5 linked regions of the Callithrix jacchus genome follow. The main gene of each other region encodes a partner of the protein of the gene in region 2 in a complex. Links are inferred from orthologs where the notes say so. Each region holds a gene or a part of one and is shown on either strand. Other genes may lie near its edges.

Region 1 (4,356 bases), on a different chromosome or scaffold from region 2:
GAGGTCAGGAGTTTGAGACCAGCCTGGCCAACATGGCAAAATCCCGTCTCTACTAAAATTACAAAAATTAGCTGGGCATGGTGGTGTGTGCCTGTAATCCCAGCTACTCGAGAGGCTAAGATAGGAGAATGGCTTGAACCTGGGAGGTGGAGGTTGCAGTGGGTTGAGATCACACTATTACACTCCAGCCTGGGTGACAAGAGTGACTCCATCTCAAAAAAAAAAAAAAAAAAGGTGGGCTCTGTGGCTCATGCCTGTAATCCCAGCACTTTGGTAGGCTGAGGCGGGTGGATCACCTGATCAGGAGTTCAAGACTAGCCTGGCCAACATGGTGAAACGCTGTCTCTACTAAAAATAGAAAAATTAGCTGGGTGTGGTGGCTTATGCCTGTAATCCCAGCTACTTGGATGGCTAAGACAGAACAGTTTGAACCCAGGAGGTGGAGGTTGCAGTGAGCCAAGATCGCACCACTACACTCCAGCCTGGGCAACAGAGCAAGACTCCATCTCAAAAAAATAAAAAATAAATTAAAAAGGGCCAGGCGCAGTGGCTCACACCTGTAATCCCAGTACTTTGGGAGGCCGAGGCGAGCAGATCACCTGAGGTCAGGAGTTTGACACCAGCCTAGCCAACATGGTGAAACTCTGCCTCTACTAAAAATACAAAAAAATTAGCTGGGGGTGGTGGCAGTTGCCTGTAATCCCAGCTACTCAGGAGGCCGAGGTAAGGGAATCGCTTGAACCTGGGAGGCGGAGGTTGCAGTGAGCCGACATCGCGCCACTGCACTCCAGCCTGGGCAACAGAGCAGGACACCATCTGAAAAAAAAAGAAAAAGAAAAAGAAAAACGGGTTAATGGAATGAAAGGGAGATAAAGGCAGAGATAGGGAGAAAGAGAGACGGAGGGAGAAATTAGAGGCAGACAGAGAAGCAACAGAAGATGAGACACAGGGACAGAGAGTTAAAGAAACAGTGGAGTGGAGACTGGGGGCAGCTGGCAGGGAGGAGCCAGGGAGCGGTTCTGACAAACTGGGCACTCTTCGGAGGTTCAGCAGTGCCCATTACCAGGCAGCCCGATCTTCGGCCTCAGGATCACTTCGAGTGTGGCCTTGTTGAAGATCTCTTTGCTGACCTTCACCTCGGCCGGCCCGTACACACCCGCCAGGACAGAGGTGTCACCTGGGGAGACAGCAGGGGAGGCCTCACTCACAGCGGCTTCTGGGGCCCCATTAGTGGCATTGAGCCTGATGGCCAGGGCTCCCCACGCCACCCCCGCCATTTGTTGGCAGTGATTCTTGGAGCACTCACTTCACTTTTCTGCCTGCGAATCCTCATTTGTAAAATGGGGACAACAGCAGTCCCTCCCCTCTAGCGTCCGGTAAGGGTCAAAGGACTCAATTCACAGAGAACACTTCAGACATTGTGGGGCTCATGCTGAGTGTGCAACTGACTTTAGCTGATATTAGTAATAGTCATCCATTAAGGCATTCAGGCAGGGTCTCACTCTCCTGGCCCAGGCTGGAGTGCAGTGGTGCCATCATGGTTGATTGCAGCCTCAACCTTTTGGGCTCAAGCAATCCTACCCCCTCAGCCTCCAGAGTAGCTGGAACTACAGGCACATGCTACCATTCCCGGCTTTTTAGTAACACACTATAGAAATGATCCCTGAAAGTACAGTCTTCATTCCCGGCTTTTTAAAAAAATTTTTAATAGAGATGGGGTTTCACCATGTTGGCCAGGGCTGGTCTTGAACTCCTGACCTCAGGTGATTTGCCCACCTTGGCCTCCCAAAATGCTGGGATTACAGGTGTGAGCCACTGTGCCGGCCTAATTTTAGTATTTTTAGTAGAGAGGGGATTTTGCCATGTTGCTCAGGAGGGTCTTGAACTACTGGGCACTTGTAATCCCAAAGTGCTGGGATTACAGGTGTGAGCCACCATACCTGGCCCTGATATTAGTAACTTTTAACAGGAAGTCCTTCCTGAAAGCTAACCATCCTCCCCCTTACTGCAGCTGCTCTCAGCCTCCTGAGTAGCTGGGATCACAGGCACCCACCACCACACCCAGCTAATTTTTGTATTTTTAGTAAAGATGGGGTTTTGTATGTAGGCCAGACTGGTCTTGAACTCCCTACCTCAGGTGATCCACCCGCCTCGGCCTCCCAAAGTGCTGAGATTACAGGCGTGAAGCCACTGCGCCCGGCCTCCCATGTCAAATTTTAAAGAAAAATGTTCTTGGAGTTAATCTAGTATTGAGTGTTATTTAGCTAGGGGAAGGGCATATTTACCCTATAGGTAAGACTTGCTCTAACCTTAGGGATATTTACTCCTGTGGAGAGATGCAGTGAGGTGGCAGTGGCGAGTATTTATGTGGGTGAAAGATCCGTCACAGTCCAGAGTATTTGCAAATAGATAGGTTTGCGTCAGTCCGGGATGCATGGACCTAGAGTGTGTGTGTGAGAGGCGGAGGACGAATCTAGTTAAGGGGGATATTTACTCTGGTGAGGTGATTTTTCCTATTCTGAAATATCCATTCTTGGGGGGACGGTCTGCCCCTCTTCTGTTTCTCAGAGATATTTGCCAGGATGGAGCTATCTTCTCCTTTCTAGTCGTGAGGGAGAGATGTGTGTATCGCTGCGTATGTAGTAGTATTCAACCGGACAAGAAATCCTGCATCAGTGCAGGAGTGACATTTACCAGCTGGTAACGTGGGGAGGTGGACACTCAGTTGCACTGTAGTCTCTCTCTGAAAGAAAGACCAGCGTGAAGTTCTTACCTTGTAGGAAAGAAGCAGAGCCATCTGGCCTCGACAGCAGGTTCTGTTCGCAGGCAAAGTGCCGGAGGCTGCAGCCGGGACCCCGAGGGCTGGACCCTCTTCCAGTTTCAGCGCCAATTTTGGCTTCAGTATGCCTCTCCTCCTCCATCACGCCAGACTCCACGTGCGGCTGCGATTGTCACTTCCGCCCGACCGCGCGCGCTGCGTACAGGGTGCGTAACCAGTGCGCACGCGTTGGGCTGGGCAGTCAGCCCCGGCGTCCGCACGTGGCTTAGCGTTTACCAACAATTTGGCTCCGCCCTGACCCACCTCCTAACTCTGGCAACACCATTGGGCAGTTGAGAACAGGAGGCGGGCCTTGGCCTGGTCCTGTTTTACTCTGAACACCGGGCCCCTAAATCCCTGGGGCCTTGGTCAGGTTGCCCTTTATTTTTGCCTGTTGCAGGAATAACTACAGTGAGGCAATTGTAGAAAACTGTGGACAGATAGATTTTCTTTTCCAAATCTCTGTGCATTCTGTCTACCACAGGAAGGAAAAAAGGTGGTTTCCGTGTCAGATGGTCCTGGAGTTTGCGTCAGGCATATAAAGGGGGAGCCCGGAGTCCAGCCTACAAGAGGGCCGGACCGCTAAATGGTTGTTAGCTAAGATGGCGGTAGCAATCGCTGCGGCGAGGGTTTGGAGGCAAAGCCGAATCCTGGGCCAGGCTGCCCTCCTCCTGCTGCTGCGGCGGCCTGGGGCTCGGGGACTGGCTATATCTGTGAGTACCTGGTCTCCAGGACGTCTTCCCAAAGGGGAATAGGGATGTAAAGGCTATCTTCAGAGTGTGGGGTCCCTGAAAGATATGAAGGAAGGGCTGTCCCAGAAGGGAAAACGTGGGAGACCTCTTGGAGAAGACACCGAAGGGAAGCTCTGCCACTTCCTTAGGAGAGGAAAAGAACCTGATTGCAACTTCTTTGTGGGCCCTGAGGGAGAAAGACGACTTGAGAAGGATGGAGTTCCTTATCCGCTGTCTTCCCCTATTCAGGGCTCCTTGGAGGGACCGCAAGACCTTTTTCTCTCAGGGTTTGGAGAATGCAACTGACTTTGTAAGGGAGAGACTTTCTTCTGGGCAAAGATCCCTCTTCAAGAAGGAGAAAGAAGAGAGCAGGTCCCTGTCACAGGCTGCATAGGGCCCTGTAGTTCTTTGCTCCTTTGCCACAATTCTGATTTTAAAATGAAATGTGTAAAAGATTTGTTTCATTCCTGTGTCTTCTGTTCGAATATCAAGACAGGGAATTCGTGTGTTCTGGACACACTACAGAGGAAATGATTAGTATTTGTTGAATTAATGAGGGGGGAAGAAGAAGAGAGAGGTGCAGACAGGACACTTTGCCCACATTTCTTAGAAACGCTTGAGAAGGCTTTGTTTCTTGCCAAAAGAGTCACAGTCCCATCAGGTGTATGCTGCTATGGGCAAGATTACCCTGCAGATAACGTAATTAGAAACCCCTCTTTGGGGTGGGGGAGGCAGTAGCTTGCAGAAGAGCTTTGAACTGCAGTTGACAGAGTAGTGGTTAAGTGGGTGGGTTCACGTCCTTGCTAT
Region 2 (3,686 bases):
CTATAGTATTATATAAAAGCAAAATTAAGCTTGGCAGATCACTTGAGGTCAGAAGCTCCAGACAAGCCTGGGCAACATGATAAAACCCCATCTCTACTAATAATATGAAAATTAGCTGGGCATGGTGACACACACCTGTAATCCCAGCTACTTGGGAGGCTGAGGCATGAAATCACTTGAACCTAGGAAGCAGAGGTTGCAGTAGGCCGAGATCACGCCAATGCACTCCAGCCTGAGCGACAGAGCAAGACTCCATCTCAAAAACAACAACAACAAAACAATTAATTAGAGCTACACAGAGAAGTTACTATTGAGTGCCAAAACATGGGTAGAGGAGTATTTGGGAGGCAAAGTACAAGGGAGGAAAGGAAGGGCTGGACTAAAAAGATCCCTAAGGGAGTGGGCTCTGTGTGGGAGGAAGCAGGGCCTCTGTGGCCTCACCCAGCAAACCAGGGGCAAGCAGGTTTAAAAAGCTGTTTAAAAAGCAATGGCACAGTGAGGTCAAAGAAGGTATTCACATCATACAGACCTGACTTTGATATCCAACAGCACTACCAGAAAGCTGAGACCTCTTGGGCTAGTTACTTAACCTCTCTGTGTCTTAGTTTCCTAACTTATAAATGGGGAATATAATACTGTCCTTTTGCAACAGGTTAAGAAGGTTTAAATGAAAATGCACGTAAAGAGCTGATCATCCTTCCACACACAATGTACCGACCTGTCTAAATTCTGCCCCCCAACTCTGTCTGGCACCATTCAGAGACCATCTCGTTTCATTCTTCCCTGACAACTTTTATGGGCAATTTTAGGTGCTACCATGATATTACTATAATTTTACTATAGAATGGCATTATATATATGCTGCTTATATCTATGTTGTATTTAATTTTTTAAAAAAATATTATAGGAGACCACATTTTCCCAACTAATCTCACCCTATAAGTTGAAATCACTCACCTGAAGAGGAAAAAAGCACTAGAAGGAAAGTAGGCCAACTAGTCTCCAACATAGGTAGAATATGGCCAGACAGCAAGGTGATACTCACCAGCACATCCACATAGAGAACCCAGCAGTGCTCCCGAGCACTAATGCAGAGGGTCTTCAGGTCAACACTGCTCTTATTGTTAAATATCCGATAGAGGGTGTTAGCGATCTCTGTGCCAAGGTCATCACCTCCTCGACCTTCAAACTCAGGGGTAGCATTGGCTGAACTATACAAAACAGAAACAAAAAAACTGGGTGAGTCTAAGCGCAAAAAGCAAAGAGGCAAGGCTTTATTCCAGTTTCCCTGTAGAATGCTGGAAAAGCCAGCTGCTTGACAGAAAGTCACTGAGATGAGGCAAGAATGGCATCTGCCACCTTTCCTGCCTCCAGAAACATGTAATGAACCAGACCAGCACTAGGACCTGGATTTGTCAGCGTGTGTGATGGGATTTCCCAAGAGTTTCTAACAGAAGCCATCTTTAGCCAAAGAGAAACAGGAGAGTGATGGTAATGTGAACCTCAGCCAATAATAATTAACTGTCTTATCTTCAAGCATATAATAAATACGCTTGTCTGCCAGGCCCAGGAAGCGGAGAGCCCTAGGGAATGAAGCAGTCTGGGTTACAGAGAGCTTTCATCATACACACCACCTTTAGTTTCACAGCTTTAGAATGAGCTATGATACTTTTCAACATAAAAACCACAATGTAAGCACAATAACCTTTTCGGAATGACTTAAAAGACATATATAATCCTCTCTGGATTGACTTAAAAGACATATACGTCAAAGCTTTGTTATAAACTTTAGAGATCACTGTACTGAAGAAAAAGAAAAATTATTGGCTCAAAAGTAGTAGGTTACCTCCTTTATTTGGTATTTTTCAAGAAAAAAACTTTTTTCTCCTTTTTGGCTTCTTGATATTTAATGCCCAATAACCTTAACAAAACTAACAGGATTCAGCATTAGCCAACCTAAAAACACCAAAGTATTTAGTAGGACATTTCTGAGAGTTTTGGCTTAATACAAACAAATCCTTAATATGTATGCGAGATAAGTAAACATTATAGTAATCATTTTATTATAACAATAAAGGACCAGAAAGGTAAGAAGCTAGTGGTTTCAGCATGGACTCTATGAAATCACGTATTAAAGCCTTCTGACCCTCACCCATATGGAAAGTTCCCAGCCCTAAACCAGCTACCAGACACCCAGAGGCTGAGTGAAGCAGATGCAGACCCAAAGCCAGCAGTTCCAATGAGGTAGGAGAGTTTCACCATAGACAGCAAACAGTGAGGTGGAAGCGGAGAGGGGCACAGAGTGTCAATTAGTGTTCAGGGTTACAGGAGACCTCAAACCTGGGATGAGCAGAGCTGGTCAGGCCAGAAAGGCGGGAGGATTCTAGGCAATGCAAAACCTGTGTGAAGGCCCATGGCAGTGCCCATCCCATTTGTATAACACTAAAAGAAATCTCACTTGGTAATACAGGTAAAAGACTGAATTCTAAAATAATCAGACTATGCTGTTACATACAATTTTGCCTCTCTAATTATATATTCTTTCCTTACCACTGTGAGCCAGAATCCCCTTTAAAGTACCCAAGAGAGACTTCATTACTGCTATAGCAACCTCGCTGTTCCCTGCCTCTGCTGGACTCAGGCATCAAGCCAAGAAAAGCAGCTTGTTTATGGTGAAATAATCAAGTCACCAGGGACCAAGTTTTTACTCTGCACAGCCAGCAAAACACAACCTGTTTTTAATTTAAACACTAAGCAATCAATATTAAGTCCTGTGTTTTAAGTGCTTAAAAATACATCTACAGAGATTTCTGTGTACACAAATCCAGTCAGAGATACTTATGCTCAAAACGTTTATCTTTCCCTGAATGCAGTGGACACATCCTGCTGGGTGTGACTAATTTTTCTGGGACTAATGCATTCACTCTTCTACAGCCTTGGGGGATGGTTTATAGAGCTTCCCAGGTCCAACTGTCTACATTAGTCTATCTATAAAATCATACCCCATTAATTTTTTTTTTTGACATTGGGCTAATGTGGAAATTTTTACCTATTTTTAAATGCCTTCACACACACACACACATACACACACACACACACACACACACACACACACACACACACACACACACACCATCTTCCAGAAGAGCCAGGAGTCAGACAAAGAGGAAGGTTTAGAGACTCATGAGCCCATTGAGCTCTCCTGTGCCTGGATGATGCCATAGTTGTGCAGTGACTCTGGGGAGGAGGCTGGGAAAATGGAGGGGAATTATTCAGGGTTGGGGATGGGGTACAACGCTTTAAGTAACATAAGAAAGCCATATTCTGCCGATGGGCGAAGACAAAGAGAAATGAGGATTCCACTTCACTACTGGGGCACTCACAGCCCAAGGACTCTTTCTGACAAATTTAGACAGAAATGTAGACCTGGAAAGGGCCTCAGAGACCATCCTCAGAGGATGAAAACCCAAATGCCTACCGGGGTCAGTAAGGTTACTACATGTATCTGAACAAAGGGCCACATATAACTAATAGAGAATGACAGAGACTATAGCAAGCAAACTTTCCAGCCCTGACTTAAGGTCCACCTTAAAAAAAGAAACATCCCTATATGAAACAAAAATCTCACAGGTGGGATTTGACCTGCAGGATGACACTGTGAGACTTCAAATAGTCTAACTCTCTCA
Region 3 (4,330 bases), on a different chromosome or scaffold from region 2:
GGCCTCCTGGCAACTGTCAGGCGTTACCACAAGAGCTTGGAGAAGTGGAGTTTTCTCCTAACTTCCCCAGGAAGGAGACATCTCAGCCATCTTGGACATCTCCTTCCCTAGCTGGCTAAACAGTGGGCGCTTTCACAGCACTGGAGCTGCCGCACGGCCGAGGTGCCCTCCAGCAGCCCTTCCTAGGCGTGACAGAGGGCTTAGAGCATCTTGCCTTAGTGTCATTCATTTCACAATGTCACCCCAGGTTCACACTTCCGACCTGATAGGCATTAGTAAAAGAATTAAGATCACCTATAAATAACTAAGATCACCTATGAATAACTAATAACTACTATGGTTATATTTCTAGTTACTTTCTTCTTCATTATTTATATGGAAATAGGCTGAGGTATTTCGCTCCTGCCTTGGCGGTCATAGATCCCCATCCCTTAAGCCTGGGCAGACTTGTCTGACTGACTTGACCCCAGAGTCTGGCAAGAGTGGCACTATATGACTTCTGAGCTAGGTCATAAAAATACCACACACGTCGCCCACCTTGTTGTCTTGGAAGGCTACCCTTGGAACCCAACTGCCATACTGCAAGGAAGCCTCGGTTGCATGTAGAAGCCACATGTAGGTGTGCTGCCTAACAGCCACACGTGAGGTCCTGGCCCGCCACCAGCATCAGTCACCGAAGATATGAGGGAGAAAACTTTGAGGATGGCTCCAGCCCCAGCCACCATCTAGCAGGAACTGCAGGAGAGATCCTAAATGCAAACTACCTAGCTGAGCCTAGGTAACACCAGACTGCAGAACATCATAAAATAATCATGTTATTCGAAGCCACTGAGGTTAGGTGGCAAGAGATAAACAGACATACAACGCCTCTTTGGAAAGGATGAGGAATCAGCATCCTCAAAGGGAAACGGGAGGCCCACTTGACTGCAGTGTGGGAGCTCGGTGTAACGGAGGGCAAGGGAGGAATGGAGGTGCCAGGTGTGGACCATGCTGGGACACCAGCCCGGTCACCTTCCTAGGACCCCTCAATGCCTTCTCTTCTCCTGTCAGTCAATGCTGCAACCACTAAGTTCATCCTTCCACTTTCACACTTACAGTGCGGGGAAGGCTGAATAATGCAGGCACCATTGGTCCCGAGGGCGTGGCTTCGGAATTCCTCCTTCAGCGGGCGCCCACTTCTTGGCACCCGTGGCACAGCTCCGGGAACGGCCGCGGGCCTAGCCCCCGCTTCCCCGACAGAGCCGCTGCAGCTCCCCGGAGACAGAAGCAGAGCCGGACCGCCGAAAACCGTAGATCCTGGGAGGTCGGGGCCGCGGGTAGCTGTAGTTTCCCGGGACCGGAAGTGGCAACGGACCGCCGGAAATCTTAGATCCGGGGACCTCGGGGCGGCGGTTAGCTGTAGTTTCCCGGGACCAGAAGTGGCAACGGACCGCCGAAAACCATAGATCCGGGGAAGTCGGGGCCGCGGGGAGTTGCAGTTCCGCGGACCCGGAAGTGACAGAGGACCACCGGAAACCGTAGATCCGGGGAAGTCGTAGCCGCCTGGAGCTCTAGTTCTCCAGTTCTCCAGCGGCTCAGAGAACTAAGCCGAGAGGGAGTTGGCGGCCGGGCGGAATGGCGGGGCTGGAGCTCTTATCGGACCAGGGCTACCGGGTGGACGGGCGGCGCGCCGGGGAGCTGCGCAAAATCCAGGCGCGGATGGGCGTGTTCGCGCAGGCTGACGGCTCGGCCTACATCGAGCAGGGCAACACCAAGGCGCTGGCGGTGGTCTACGGCCCGCACGAGGCGAGTGGGAGGGGAAATCGTGCGGTCGCGGAGCCGCAGGGCAGCCGGGCTGAGCACAGGCTCAGGGACTTGAGGGGCAACGGCCGGCGCGCCTCCGACCACACAGCCGATGCTCAGCACCGCATGTCACTCGGAGTAAACGCAAGTCCTTAGTGCACTGAGCGGTGGTCCTGCCTTTCTCATCGGCTTGTCCCTGCGCCCTCCCTTCTCTTTGCGGCTCTTCAGCTCCCCCACTCGCCCCGTCACCTCTCAGCTCTACTCCGACGTCACTCCTCCCCAGACAACCTTATCCACGCGGTACTTCCCCTCCCTACAATAAACCCTTCCTTGTCTTTTGTGCACCTACGATCTCAAACGCCTGTTTTGCTTAAGCACGTTCACCTTTGTTTCCTTGCTGGAACATAAGCTTCCTAAAGACAGGAACTTTACATGAAACTCTATGGTTTCACTGCGGTTCCCAGCGCTGTAACAGTGCCTGGCCAGCAAAGGTATTGAAAATGTGCTTAGCGCATGGCTGTGGGAGCTCTGCTTTCTAGGCGCAGGGAAGCACGAGGGCGAAGACCACGGGGGTGAAAACAAGCATAGCACTTAGGCAGAGCAGAAAGACTGCTGGTGGGGAAAGGGGGTAACTCCAAATTAAAGTAGAGTGTTTCCGGGGAGGTGAGGACTTGGGATTTTGTAGACCAGGGAAAGGATTTGGGATTTTATTTCACATGTAATGTAACGCCTTCGTAAGTTAATTAGGATTTGAGTGTGTACGTGAGATAGAATCAGCCTTGATGTTTGTAAACTTGGGCTGGAAGGGAATGGGACAAGGATGGACACAAAGCAGCCAACTAAAAGATGCATGCCAGGAGGAAAAACGAGCAAAACAGGGGGCTTTGTTTTGGAGGTAAAGTAGTTGCCTCTTGCTGAGGCCTTGAAAGTGAAAGGAGAGGCAGACCCCCAGAGTACAGTGGAGTGTGAGCTGGAAGAAGTGGGCCTGGCTCATGTGTCCATCTTCTTCCAGATCCGGGGCTCGCGGGCTCGAGCCCTGCCAGACAGGGCCCTAGTGAACTGTCAATATAGTTCAGCGACCTTCAGCACCGGTGAGCGCAAGCGACGGCCACATGGGGACCGTAAGTCCTGTGAGATGGGCCTACAACTCCGCCAGACTTTCGAAGCAGCCATCCTCACACAGCTGCACCCACGCTCCCAGATTGATATCTATGTGCAGGTGAGCCGGCTGCAGCCTGCAATCCAGGGAGGGAAGAGTGTGATGGGATTGAGGAGGGAGTCTGATGAACTGACACCCTGGGGTCCTCGCAGGTGCTACAGGCAGATGGTGGGACTTACGCAGCGTGTGTGAATGCAGCCACGCTGGCAGTGCTGGATGCTGGCATACCCATGAGAGACTTTGTGTGTGCGTGCTCAGCTGGCTTCGTGGACGGCACAGCCCTGGCAGACCTCAGCCATGTGGAGGAAGCAGCTGGTGGCCCCCAGCTGGCCCTGGCCCTGCTGCCAGCTTCAGGCCAGATTGCGCTGCTTGAGATGGATGCCCGGCTGCATGAGGACCACCTGGAGCAGGTGTTGGAGGCTGCTGCCCAGGCTGCTCAAGATGTGCACATCCTCTTGGACCGAGTTGTCCGGCAGCATGTGCGTGAGGCCTCTATCTTGCTGGGGGATTGACCACCCTGCCACCCATGTCCAGAATAAAACCCTCCTCCGCCCACACACTCCTCACTGTACTTTGATCACCCAACAGCACTTTGGAGCTATGTGAAGCCCTGCAGAGCCTGGCCTGGTACTGGCTACTGGGAATGACCAGGGACCCTCTTATATAGAGAACTGTCTATCTCTGTATATCCTGATTGAAACCCTGAAGAGAACAGTGGATTAGGGGGTTGAGGAGAGATAGTTCCTGGGTGGAAAAAGCAGCATGTCCCAGTAAGGACTCAAGGCAGCTGAGTAAGAGGCAGGGCCTGGCAAGATGAGCCAGGCCATTAGACTGAGGAATCTATTCTTACTCCAGCACATCGGGAGCCCTGAGCAAAGGGCTGAGGAAAAACTCAGCTGGCTCTGGGTACCCACCCTAGAGATGTGGGTAGCCATGTCCCACAGCCTGTGGACTATGGCTTGGAACCCCTTGGGCTTTTCCTGCTGCTTACCCTGGACTCTAAAAGTACAAAAGCCAGGCATAGTGGCTTACACCTGTAATCCCAGAATTTTGGGAAGCTGAGGCAGATGGATTGCTTCAGGTCAGGAATTTGAGACTAGCCTGGCCAACATGGCAAAATCCCATCTCTACTGCAAATACAAAAATTAGCTGAGGTGGTAACACACACCTGTATAATCCCAGCTACTTGGGAGGCAGAGGCAGGAAAATCTCTTGAACCTGGGAAGTGGAGGTTGCAGTGAGCCGAGATCGTGCCACTGCACTCCAGCCTGGGCAATAGGGCAAGACTCCATCTAAAAAAATAAAAGTACAAAAAACGTGTTCTCATGGATCAGTAGAGGTCAGGAGTTCGAGACCAGCCTAGCCAACATGGTGAAACCCCATCTCTAC
Region 4 (4,165 bases), on a different chromosome or scaffold from region 2:
TGCTGCTATTGGTTCTTTCCCACAGCCATCAATGCCAGCCACCTACAGTTCTGTGGCTAAGGGACTGACTACACTACAGGATTTCTACAGTCACTTTGGAGTTGAGTCTTGTGAAAAAAAGGAACGCATGTATCATTCCCTTTCACCAACCAGGAAATCACAGAGGAAGAGCCATCTGAAGGCCAGAGAACACCTCTAGGGTTGCACTGTCCAATATGGTAGGTAGCTAATTATCTGAACTCACATTTAATTAAAATTAGATACTTAAAATTAATTTCCTGAGTTGCATTAGCCACATTTCAGGTGCTCAACAGCTAGTGGCTATCATACTAATCAGTAGAGACATAAAACAGCATCACTATGGAAAGATGTATTAGGTGACACCACCCTAGAGAATTACAGATTTACAGAGAGAGGAAGGAACTCACAGCATGCGAATTATTCAAAGCAAAACAAAATAATTCACTGACACTTCTCCCTGCAAGATTACTTAAAAACCTCATAGAGCTAAACTTTAAAGTGATGAAACTGAGGAAATGGAGAGTGAACTCGGTTTACTCAACAAAATGTGTTAAGTACCTACTGTTTGTTGGTGACTATGTAAACTATAGAGGAAGAAAACATTCTCCGATTTTCAGAAGCATTTGGTCTTGGAGGGCAGTTGGGAGGTACATATACTAAATCCAGTAAGTGCTAGAGAAAAGATAGGAGAAAAGTGACAACTGGGGATGGCTTTAGAGAGGTGGTTGTGTTTAGCCTAGGTCTAAAAGATGAGAATGTGTTCCACAGGCTGAGAAGGAATAGTGCAATCCAGAGGGAACAGCATGTGCAAAGAAATAAGGGCAGGAAATTGAGTTTAGTGGTTTTTGGTGTGATTCAAGTAGGGCTGCATGAAGGATATAATTAGGGATAAGGAAAAGACACCTGAAGTGTAATGCCAAGGAATTCTGTAGATTTTGGATAATCTTGTTTTTTCTTTTCCAGAAAGTGACTGTGAGGATGTCTGCTCTCAAAACCCTGGATGGTAAGGTAAAAATGTGGAGGCAAGGATTAATGTGACTGAGTCCAGTCAAGACGGAGCTAAAGCCTGAACTTGCAAAGTGGAGATAAAGGGATGGACATACCAAAGATCAGAGATGGAATCAAATAGGATCAAAATAGGGTTAGGCAACTAAATATGCATGAGAAGTGAATGAGAAGCAGCAAAGAAATCACTAAATGTCGGGCTGGGGTAGACAAGAGTGTGGCTATGCTACCTGAAAAGCCCAATCTGAAAACCCAAGGCAATAATATCACTCCTCTCTCAGCTCCTAGGATCTACAGCCAGGATGGATGGATAGCTGATAATGCCAAAATGCGCACTACTTTTCCCTCCTCTAAGCCTACAGAAGACTTCCTTGTCCAGAGGATGTGGACATAACACATAACAGAGATGACAGATAACTCAGTAGAAATGAAACATGCTAAGAACAATGTAGTCAATGTAAAGTAAGTATGTGGCTCTGGTCCTGGAGCATCTGAAGAAACTCTTGGAGCCTGGGGCAATTGCATGCACAGAAATCTAGGTCATGCTTTGGAGACAATTCAGGTAGCCTTCTGGAGATATGAGTCCTTCAAGGGAATGGATGTTTTTCTTGCTTTGAAACCAAAGGCTCCCATCATTACCTGCACATTTGGTCTGTTTCTTTTAGTTGCACCTTCAAATGACAAGTAAGACAAAGAAGCCGGCTCACTCCCTCCAACATCAACTTTGAATATATCTCCAGATTTAGCTGTCACTATGCCAATCACATGGTCTCCTTTCACTGGAACATACTACAAAAGGAAACAGAATGAGAAAACAGTCATAAATAACAACATACCATTGGAAGATACCTTCAGCAAGTCTTTTGTGGTTACCTTATTGTCATTAAAGAGAAAGAAATTTGATCGTATGCCGCTTTTGGTAAAAGAAAATCACATAAAGTGTCGGGTTTGCAGCTTCTGGTAGTCTGTTAATTGAGCCCAAACCCCGTATTTCTTCAGCACCCCAAAGAGTAAGTCCCTAGCTTTGTAGCATAAATCCAGTGGCAAAGGAATCCTTACAACCAAGGAAGCCCATTCCATAGTTAGACATTTTTTTTTCTGTATGAAAGTTCTTATCTGTCCTAGGAGAAATTAACTCCCCTTGACATCCACTCATTCAGCCTGGTCCTGCCCTCTGAGACTCCAAAGGGAAAGTCTGCTGCTCCCTGACCTTTGGGGTTTTGAAGACTATAATCATGACTAACGGTCTCCAAACGTTTTTCTCTCCTGGTCGCCCTTCTCAGGGTATGTTCCTATTGTTCACGGACCCTCTAAAGGACATGAAAAGTGGGCACAAGACTACGGTGGTACTAGGGGCTCTAGGTGCCTGAACAAGGAGGGCTTCAGTGTCCCATCCTTTCTTCTTTTGGGAGGTCTTCTTAAAGCAGGGCTACCACTCCGGAGTCCCAGCTTACCCGCTTCTGCTGAGAGTCCACCCAGTAAACGCCGCCGCCGCCGCCGCCGCCACCGCCGGGCTCTTTGTGACGGAGGCGGCCGCACTTGGTGACCAGCAGGCGGTCCCCACAGCGCCGCAAGCCCGGGCCGCAAATAACGCGCACCCGCGAGCAAGCTCCAGCATTCAGGCTCAACGGTCGCTCCCCTGCACCGCCAGGGCCTTCCGCGTCCTCCTGTTCCGGCAGGAGCAGCTCCTCACCCGGGAGCACCACCTGACCTAGTACTGAGCGCGCAACGCGCGCCCCGCCGCCCGCGAGAGATTCAGCAACTACTGATACACCTTCAGCCATTGCGGACGCCCGCAAACACCGTTTCCGGTATTCGCCTTCCGCTTCCGCACCCGCCCTTGATGACTTTCCGGTTCCGGCAGTAGTGGTCGGTTGAGTTGACCAGTTTATGAAGCTTCGTTGCCGTCAGCTCACAGGTGCCCGTCCGAGGTGGCTGTAGCCAGCCATCTATCTTACAGGCGTGAGCCACCGCGCCCGGCCGAACTTTTATGTTTTTTAGGATTGAGACAGATCATCTTCAACACACCCTCCAAATTTGGCAAGCCATTTTCCCCGCTAGGTGTAATAGAAGGCCAACAAATAAAAGGGGCTCCCACTTCCAGGTTAGTTTCCCTGGCAAAAATGGGAGCTCCTGTGGCAGAGACAGTATTAATTGTGCTTTTCTCTTCCCCACTCCAGAAGTATTGGGTGACCCTGCCTGCCTCAGTGTTGGCAGGATCAACAGCACGGCTGAAGGGCGCTCAAGGACCTCACATTCGGGCCAGGCAAAGAGGCAGGTGGGGAAATGTTCTCTGAACTGTCCTTCATTCACCCCACGTCGGTAGTGAAGTCTTTGGAAGAAACTCGGATCAGAGCTAGCAGAGGCCGCACATGACGCGCGGCGTAGCGCTCTAGCAGGTCAGCAGATGAAACAGCTGAGGCCGGGATGGAAAGTTTTCTCGCGACCCGAGGGCCGGGGCTGGGCCACTCCTGAGCACCACCCACCCTGACACGCCCACAGCGGGCGGGGCGCGAGGAACCGCAGCCAGCTTACCTGGCCGTGCGCAGCTGCGTCGGTGCTTCGCCGCCTCGGGGTCTTGCGCCCTGCCGAGAGCTAGCAGCCGGTGCTGGGCGGCGGGAATTCGTCCGCTGTTAGGTGGGAGCCCGAAGCCGCGAACGAGTGTTTGAAACCCGGCTTCAAGCCCTCGAGGGCGCGCGGGTTGGTCCTAGGGTCCCATGGGTCACGGTTCACATTTTCGAGCAACTCGTGCTTCCTCTCTGGTTATAAAAGTGGGAAAAGTGCAACGATTGGGGAATAAGGAGGAGGCTTTGCCCTCCGCCGGCGCTTGTGTTTCCCTGCTGATCGCGAGGTGGATTACGCCCGGTTCTCTGTCAGGCTTGCGGGTTTGGAGCCAAAGCAGTCGAGGCTGCTCCCCTTTCCAGTGCCTCTGGCCTATGCCTCCCCATTCGGAGTGTAACCAGGTCCCTTGATATTTAAGTACTCTGTTTTTTTTTTTTTTTTCTGTTTTGTTTTGGGTTTTTTTGAGACAAAGTCTCGCTCTGCCACCCAGACTGAAGTGTAGTGGCGCGATCTTGGCTCACTGCAACCTCCGCCTCCCAAGTTCAAGCGATTCTCCTGCCTTAGCCTCTTGAGTAGC
Region 5 (4,130 bases), on a different chromosome or scaffold from region 2:
TGCTTTCTTTTGCCTGGTGGTTCTGAGTTCCTAGATCTGAGGTGCCAAAGCTCTGGGGAAATGGAAAGTGGGTGCAGAAAGACTAGGTGCTGTGGGCCCCTCCTTTCCTAGCCCATGCCTCCTGCCCCTCCACTAACGTCCTGCTTCTACTTTCCCTACAGGTGGAGGACCACGCATAGGACCAGGACAGCCAAGAGGAAGCAGGATCTCCTCCAGGCTCATCAGCTCCGGGCGTTCTGGGGTAGGTCCTTGCCTTGCCTAGGTTGTGAAGGCCTCCTGGTAGCACCCATGCAACCTGAGATACCCGTTCTGGAGCTGGGTCAATAGAAGAGAACACAGGGCTTGGCCAGAAAAGCGGAAGGTTCACTGTTGCAGCAGGTTTAGCTTCTTAGGAGGTTACATTTCACGATGACAGCCATGGGACTGACAGCGTTAGGAGGGAGGTAGCCTGGGACTGTACCAGGTCGCCATCCTCATGAAGCTGAGGCTGTCTTCCAAGGGACAGCTGACAGCCCACCCCCACCCCACCCCAGCACTCAGGGGCAATCCTCAGTCCTGAGTGCAGACACGGCCACAGCTGCTCTTCACTCCCCTCTGGATGCACCAACAGCCAACAGATTTCCCTGGGATCCCAGTCTCCCTCCCTGCCCGAAACAGCCGGAAGGTCCTCGGCGTACACCCCACACCACCCTCTTGGGGCTCCAGACTCGTCATCCACTCTCCAAAGCCATCCTTCAGAATAACATGAGCTGTCTCCACTGGTGTGATACCATTTCAGACCTGCTCTGGAAAGGTAAGTCAAAAGGGAAAAAATAAAATTCATAAATCTTTTTCCTGGTCAAGGCTTCTTGGTGTGGCTCCAGAAACTCATTCTGGTCCTTGGGCTGCCCGGCACCGGCCCTTCCCCGAGAAGCCGAGTGCAGAGACCGGACCAGGCTGCCCTGCCTTCTCAATGGCAGTCACCTGGCTGCGTCCAGAGCAGCCTTGAGACCAGACCAGCAGATCTGGGAGCCACACAGGAAAGACCCCACCCTCGTGGTGAGTCAGGCCGGTTCTGCCCTATGGAGCAGCCAAGCCGTACCTGGCTTTCCTGGCAGTTCACCTGCCCTCTCTGGGCGTTGCTCAGGGTTTTCCTCCTAGGACCAAGGCACCACGTGAAGACGGCCCAGGACACCACTTCCCACCGGCTGTGGAGGCCTCTGGTTGTGCCGTTCTCCACATGGCCAAGGACAGATCTGGCTTCCACCCAGAGCAAAACCCATTCCAGCTACCCAGCCGAGTTGGGTCTTGCCCAGTACCAAACCAGGGTGGGGGGCTGGGGTGCACTCAGCGCGCCGCTGGGGCCATACAACTCTTCCTACTTTTGTCATATCTCAGCAGCTGTCCTGTCTCTGGTTCGTGTGGGGGCAGCTTCTCCTTCTATAAAGCACAGGGCCCACATCCAGTCCTGCAGCTGTTCTTTGCAGCCTATCTGTCCCGTTCAAGTTGGTCTAAGGAACGGGACCGGTTAAAGGCACCGCGGTCACGGCCCCTTGCCACCTGGGATGTAAGAACAAAGAAGCCGTGCTCTCTAAAATCCTGGACCAAGAAGAATCACAACAGAAGACGCTTTTCAGATATAGAAGTGTTTTTCTTTTGGCTCAGACACGGTGAGAAGGCACAGCCTCTTGTCCAACCTCTCAAAAGTCGCCCAGTTACGTCAGAGGGAGTCTCTGGCTGGCGGTGCAAAGGATCTATCCCTTAAATGACTACAGTTCCCAGATACCAGCTTCCAGGTAAGTTCCAAGTTTCCAGCCTGGAAGTCAGGCTGCGCTCACAGGTGTTCTCAACTGGGTCGCAGCTGAGAGCCGGCTAAAGGAGGAAAGTTCCTTTAATGAGGTTTGTAAAAAGCCCTTCCACCACCACAGCTGTCTGGCGCCTCGGCTCTGTTTCAGCCTCTCCAGGTGCTCTCCGGGGCTCCTGCTGCATATCTCGATGCAGGCTCGAGGCCCACGGCACGGGTCTCGGCGTGGCGTCCGTCGTTGTTCAGGGCGGGGCGGCGCCCCTGCGACGGGCAGCCCGCACCAGGCACTGCTGCAACACTGGATAGAGGCGCTGGCAGCCCTCGAGGCCAAGGCGTACGGCCTCCGCCCAGCTCTCGGTCAGGCCACCCTCCCCGCTACCCAGCAGCCCAGCCACCTGATTCAGGACGGGCATGAGTGCCACAGTGAGACCGGCGGCGGCGCGCTCCTCCTCGAGCCGCGTGGGGTCCAGTAGCCAGGTGGACGCGGGCCCCGGAGCGAGGCTCAGGCCGCAGCCCACCACCAGGTCGTACATCTCCACGCCCGCATCGGCCAGGGCGAGCGCAGCGGCGGTGAGCGCGGCGGCCAGGGCTGAGCCCCCGTCCTCCAGCAGCAGCGCAGACACCTCGAGCTGTGCACGCGGGTATCGGCCCAGGCGCACCGCTGGCTCCAGCGCCTCCTGCAGCGCCAGCGCCAGCTCACGCTCCTCACCGCCGCCCTGGGGAGCGCGGCGCCGGCGCCCCGCGAAGGGGGCGCGGCGGAAATCGCAGAGCAGTCGACCACGCAGCGCGGCCGGGGCCTCGCCACCCGCTCCGGCCGGGCCGCCCCCGCGCTCGCCGCCCTCGGCCTGGCGCGGGCCCGACACCGCGCACAACACCTTGGTGCCTCCTGCCTCCAGGTAGGCTGAGCCCTTGGCTTGGCTCAGCAACCCCGCGCGAGCGTACACGGGTCGCAGCCGCGTCGGGTCGCGAGCGGCGGGCGCATCCTCTTCGTCGGCCGCGTACAGCTGCGGCGGCTGTGATTCCTCCGGGCCGCGTATACGGCGGTGGTCCCCAGGCATCACGGCGCCTGGCGTGCGACCTGCTTCCGGCCGCTGCTCCACCACGCACACCAGCTCTTCCGCTGCTTAAAGATGCGCGCCTGCGCGAAGGATGTCGGGGAGCAGCCGGCTTCGCTATAGCGCCCTCTGAAGGCCTGGAGGGAGAACGGCCGGCGTCCTCAAAGCCTTGGTGCCGCTAGTGCAGGGCATGTGGCGTTCATACATACAACGGGGGCGGGGGGCGGCAGTTAGAAGAAAGAGGCTTCTCTGCTTCCACCCCTCATTTTCTGTTGAATTATGAACACCTCCCTCTATGTCACCTATTTGGCTTCCATCGCCACAAACGGTTGAGGCAACCACAGGGGCTACTCCCAAAATTCAGAGTTCTGGGGCTAGACAGTGAATACAGCAGCAGCCAGCAGGAGTCACAGCATTTATTCTAGACAGCAGGGGCCACAGGCTGTGGAAACGGCGCGCCCCCATTGGGAATGGGTAGAGATCCTGCGGCGTCAATTATTGCACATGGTCCTTTATTCTCTGCAGCGAAAATGATTCCCATTTGCTAACCCAGACAGCTCAGGTCTGGAGAGCTGTCCGCTCCAGATGCCTATCGATGCACAACAGCAATGCTGGGGTACTCAGGGCAGACATATAAGGAATACTGGGTCACAGGACCTCTTCCAGTTACCGTGGGGTTAGGAAGATGGTGGGAGCTCTTTAAAGGTCCCAAGATTCTAATGTTCTTAGAGCAGAGGAGGAACTCCTGGCTGGACCTATGGATCCAGTGCCAAACTCCTCCTTCCCCACCTCAGTTCTTCACATCCCCGAGGTGCAGCTGGGCAAAGGAAGTGGCCAGCTGCAGCGCCTCCTGCAGGCAGCCAACGTTCTTGCCTGTGGCCTGCGCAGACACATCCTTGCCACCACCCTTACCATCCATCAGGCCTGATACCTGCTGCACCCACTCGCTGGCTTTTAGGCCCCTATTGGCTGCATTCTGGAAGAAAAGAAGGGAAGGGGGAGTTAGGACACAAGATAAATGAGGAATGGAGGAAAAGAAATGCAGGAGCCATCCCCCACTCCTGCCCAGGGTGGTGATGCTGGCAGCCGAGACACGCTTAACAGCTGGTAAAGGGGGAAGTCATAGCCACAGCCAGGAAAGGACAGAGTGGCAAAGCCAAGTATCAACCAGACATCTTCACCAATGAGAAGGCCGGGGTAAAGGGCAACAGGTGTCTAGTTTCAAATGCCGATTGTGAACACACAGGCCTCAGGAATAAGCTTAAGACCTACACTGCCCCCCTGGTGTGAAA

What was found.
Region 1: EXOSC7 (region 2) and EXOSC5 share a complex: the UniProt entries of both Homo sapiens proteins name them as parts of the RNA exosome core complex. The link is inferred for Callithrix jacchus from reciprocal best matches to the Homo sapiens genes EXOSC7 and EXOSC5.
Region 3: EXOSC7 (region 2) and EXOSC4 share a complex: the UniProt entries of both Homo sapiens proteins name them as parts of the RNA exosome core complex. The link is inferred for Callithrix jacchus from reciprocal best matches to the Homo sapiens genes EXOSC7 and EXOSC4.
Region 4: EXOSC7 (region 2) and EXOSC3 share a complex: the UniProt entries of both Homo sapiens proteins name them as parts of the RNA exosome core complex. The link is inferred for Callithrix jacchus from reciprocal best matches to the Homo sapiens genes EXOSC7 and EXOSC3.
Region 5: EXOSC7 (region 2) and EXOSC6 share a complex: the UniProt entries of both Homo sapiens proteins name them as parts of the RNA exosome core complex. The link is inferred for Callithrix jacchus from reciprocal best matches to the Homo sapiens genes EXOSC7 and EXOSC6.

Annotation. Positions count from the first base shown.
Region 1 is NC_133523.1:36,667,760-36,672,115, forward strand, and holds the start of EXOSC5 (exosome complex component RRP46), read right to left. Parts: upstream 2,957-4,356; 5' UTR 2,922-2,956; coding exon 2,774-2,921; intron 1,680-2,773; exon of another isoform or gene 1,487-1,679; intron 1,178-1,486; coding exon 1,064-1,177; intron 817-1,063; exon of another isoform or gene 774-816; coding exon of another isoform or gene 743-773; exon of another isoform or gene 1-742. Other genes in the region: BCKDHA (2-oxoisovalerate dehydrogenase subunit alpha, mitochondrial), read left to right, coding at 3,421-3,531. UniProt on the Homo sapiens protein: Non-catalytic component of the RNA exosome complex which has 3'->5' exoribonuclease activity and participates in a multitude of cellular RNA processing and degradation events.
Region 2 is NC_133516.1:27,738,070-27,741,755, reverse strand, and holds part of EXOSC7 (exosome complex component RRP42), read right to left. Parts: intron 1,212-3,686; coding exon 1,046-1,211; intron 1-1,045. UniProt on the Homo sapiens protein: Non-catalytic component of the RNA exosome complex which has 3'->5' exoribonuclease activity and participates in a multitude of cellular RNA processing and degradation events.
Region 3 is NC_133517.1:53,542,261-53,546,590, reverse strand, and holds the start of EXOSC4 (exosome complex component RRP41), read left to right. Parts: upstream 1-1,499; 5' UTR 1,500-1,614; coding exon 1,615-1,785; intron 1,786-2,794; coding exon 2,795-3,001; intron 3,002-3,093; coding exon 3,094-3,420; coding exon of another isoform or gene 3,421-3,453; exon of another isoform or gene 3,454-3,496; intron 3,497-4,330. UniProt on the Homo sapiens protein: Non-catalytic component of the RNA exosome complex which has 3'->5' exoribonuclease activity and participates in a multitude of cellular RNA processing and degradation events.
Region 4 is NC_133502.1:144,772,716-144,776,880, forward strand, and holds the start of EXOSC3 (exosome complex component RRP40), read right to left. Parts: upstream 2,831-4,165; 5' UTR 2,811-2,830; coding exon 2,481-2,810; intron 1,816-2,480; coding exon 1,666-1,815; intron 1-1,665. UniProt on the Homo sapiens protein: Non-catalytic component of the RNA exosome complex which has 3'->5' exoribonuclease activity and participates in a multitude of cellular RNA processing and degradation events.
Region 5 is NC_133521.1:31,651,664-31,655,793, reverse strand, and holds EXOSC6 (exosome complex component MTR3), read right to left. Parts: upstream 2,887-4,130; 5' UTR 2,842-2,886; coding exon 2,026-2,841; 3' UTR 363-2,025; downstream 1-362. Other genes in the region: AARS1 (alanine--tRNA ligase, cytoplasmic), read right to left, coding at 3,629-3,814. UniProt on the Homo sapiens protein: Non-catalytic component of the RNA exosome complex which has 3'->5' exoribonuclease activity and participates in a multitude of cellular RNA processing and degradation events.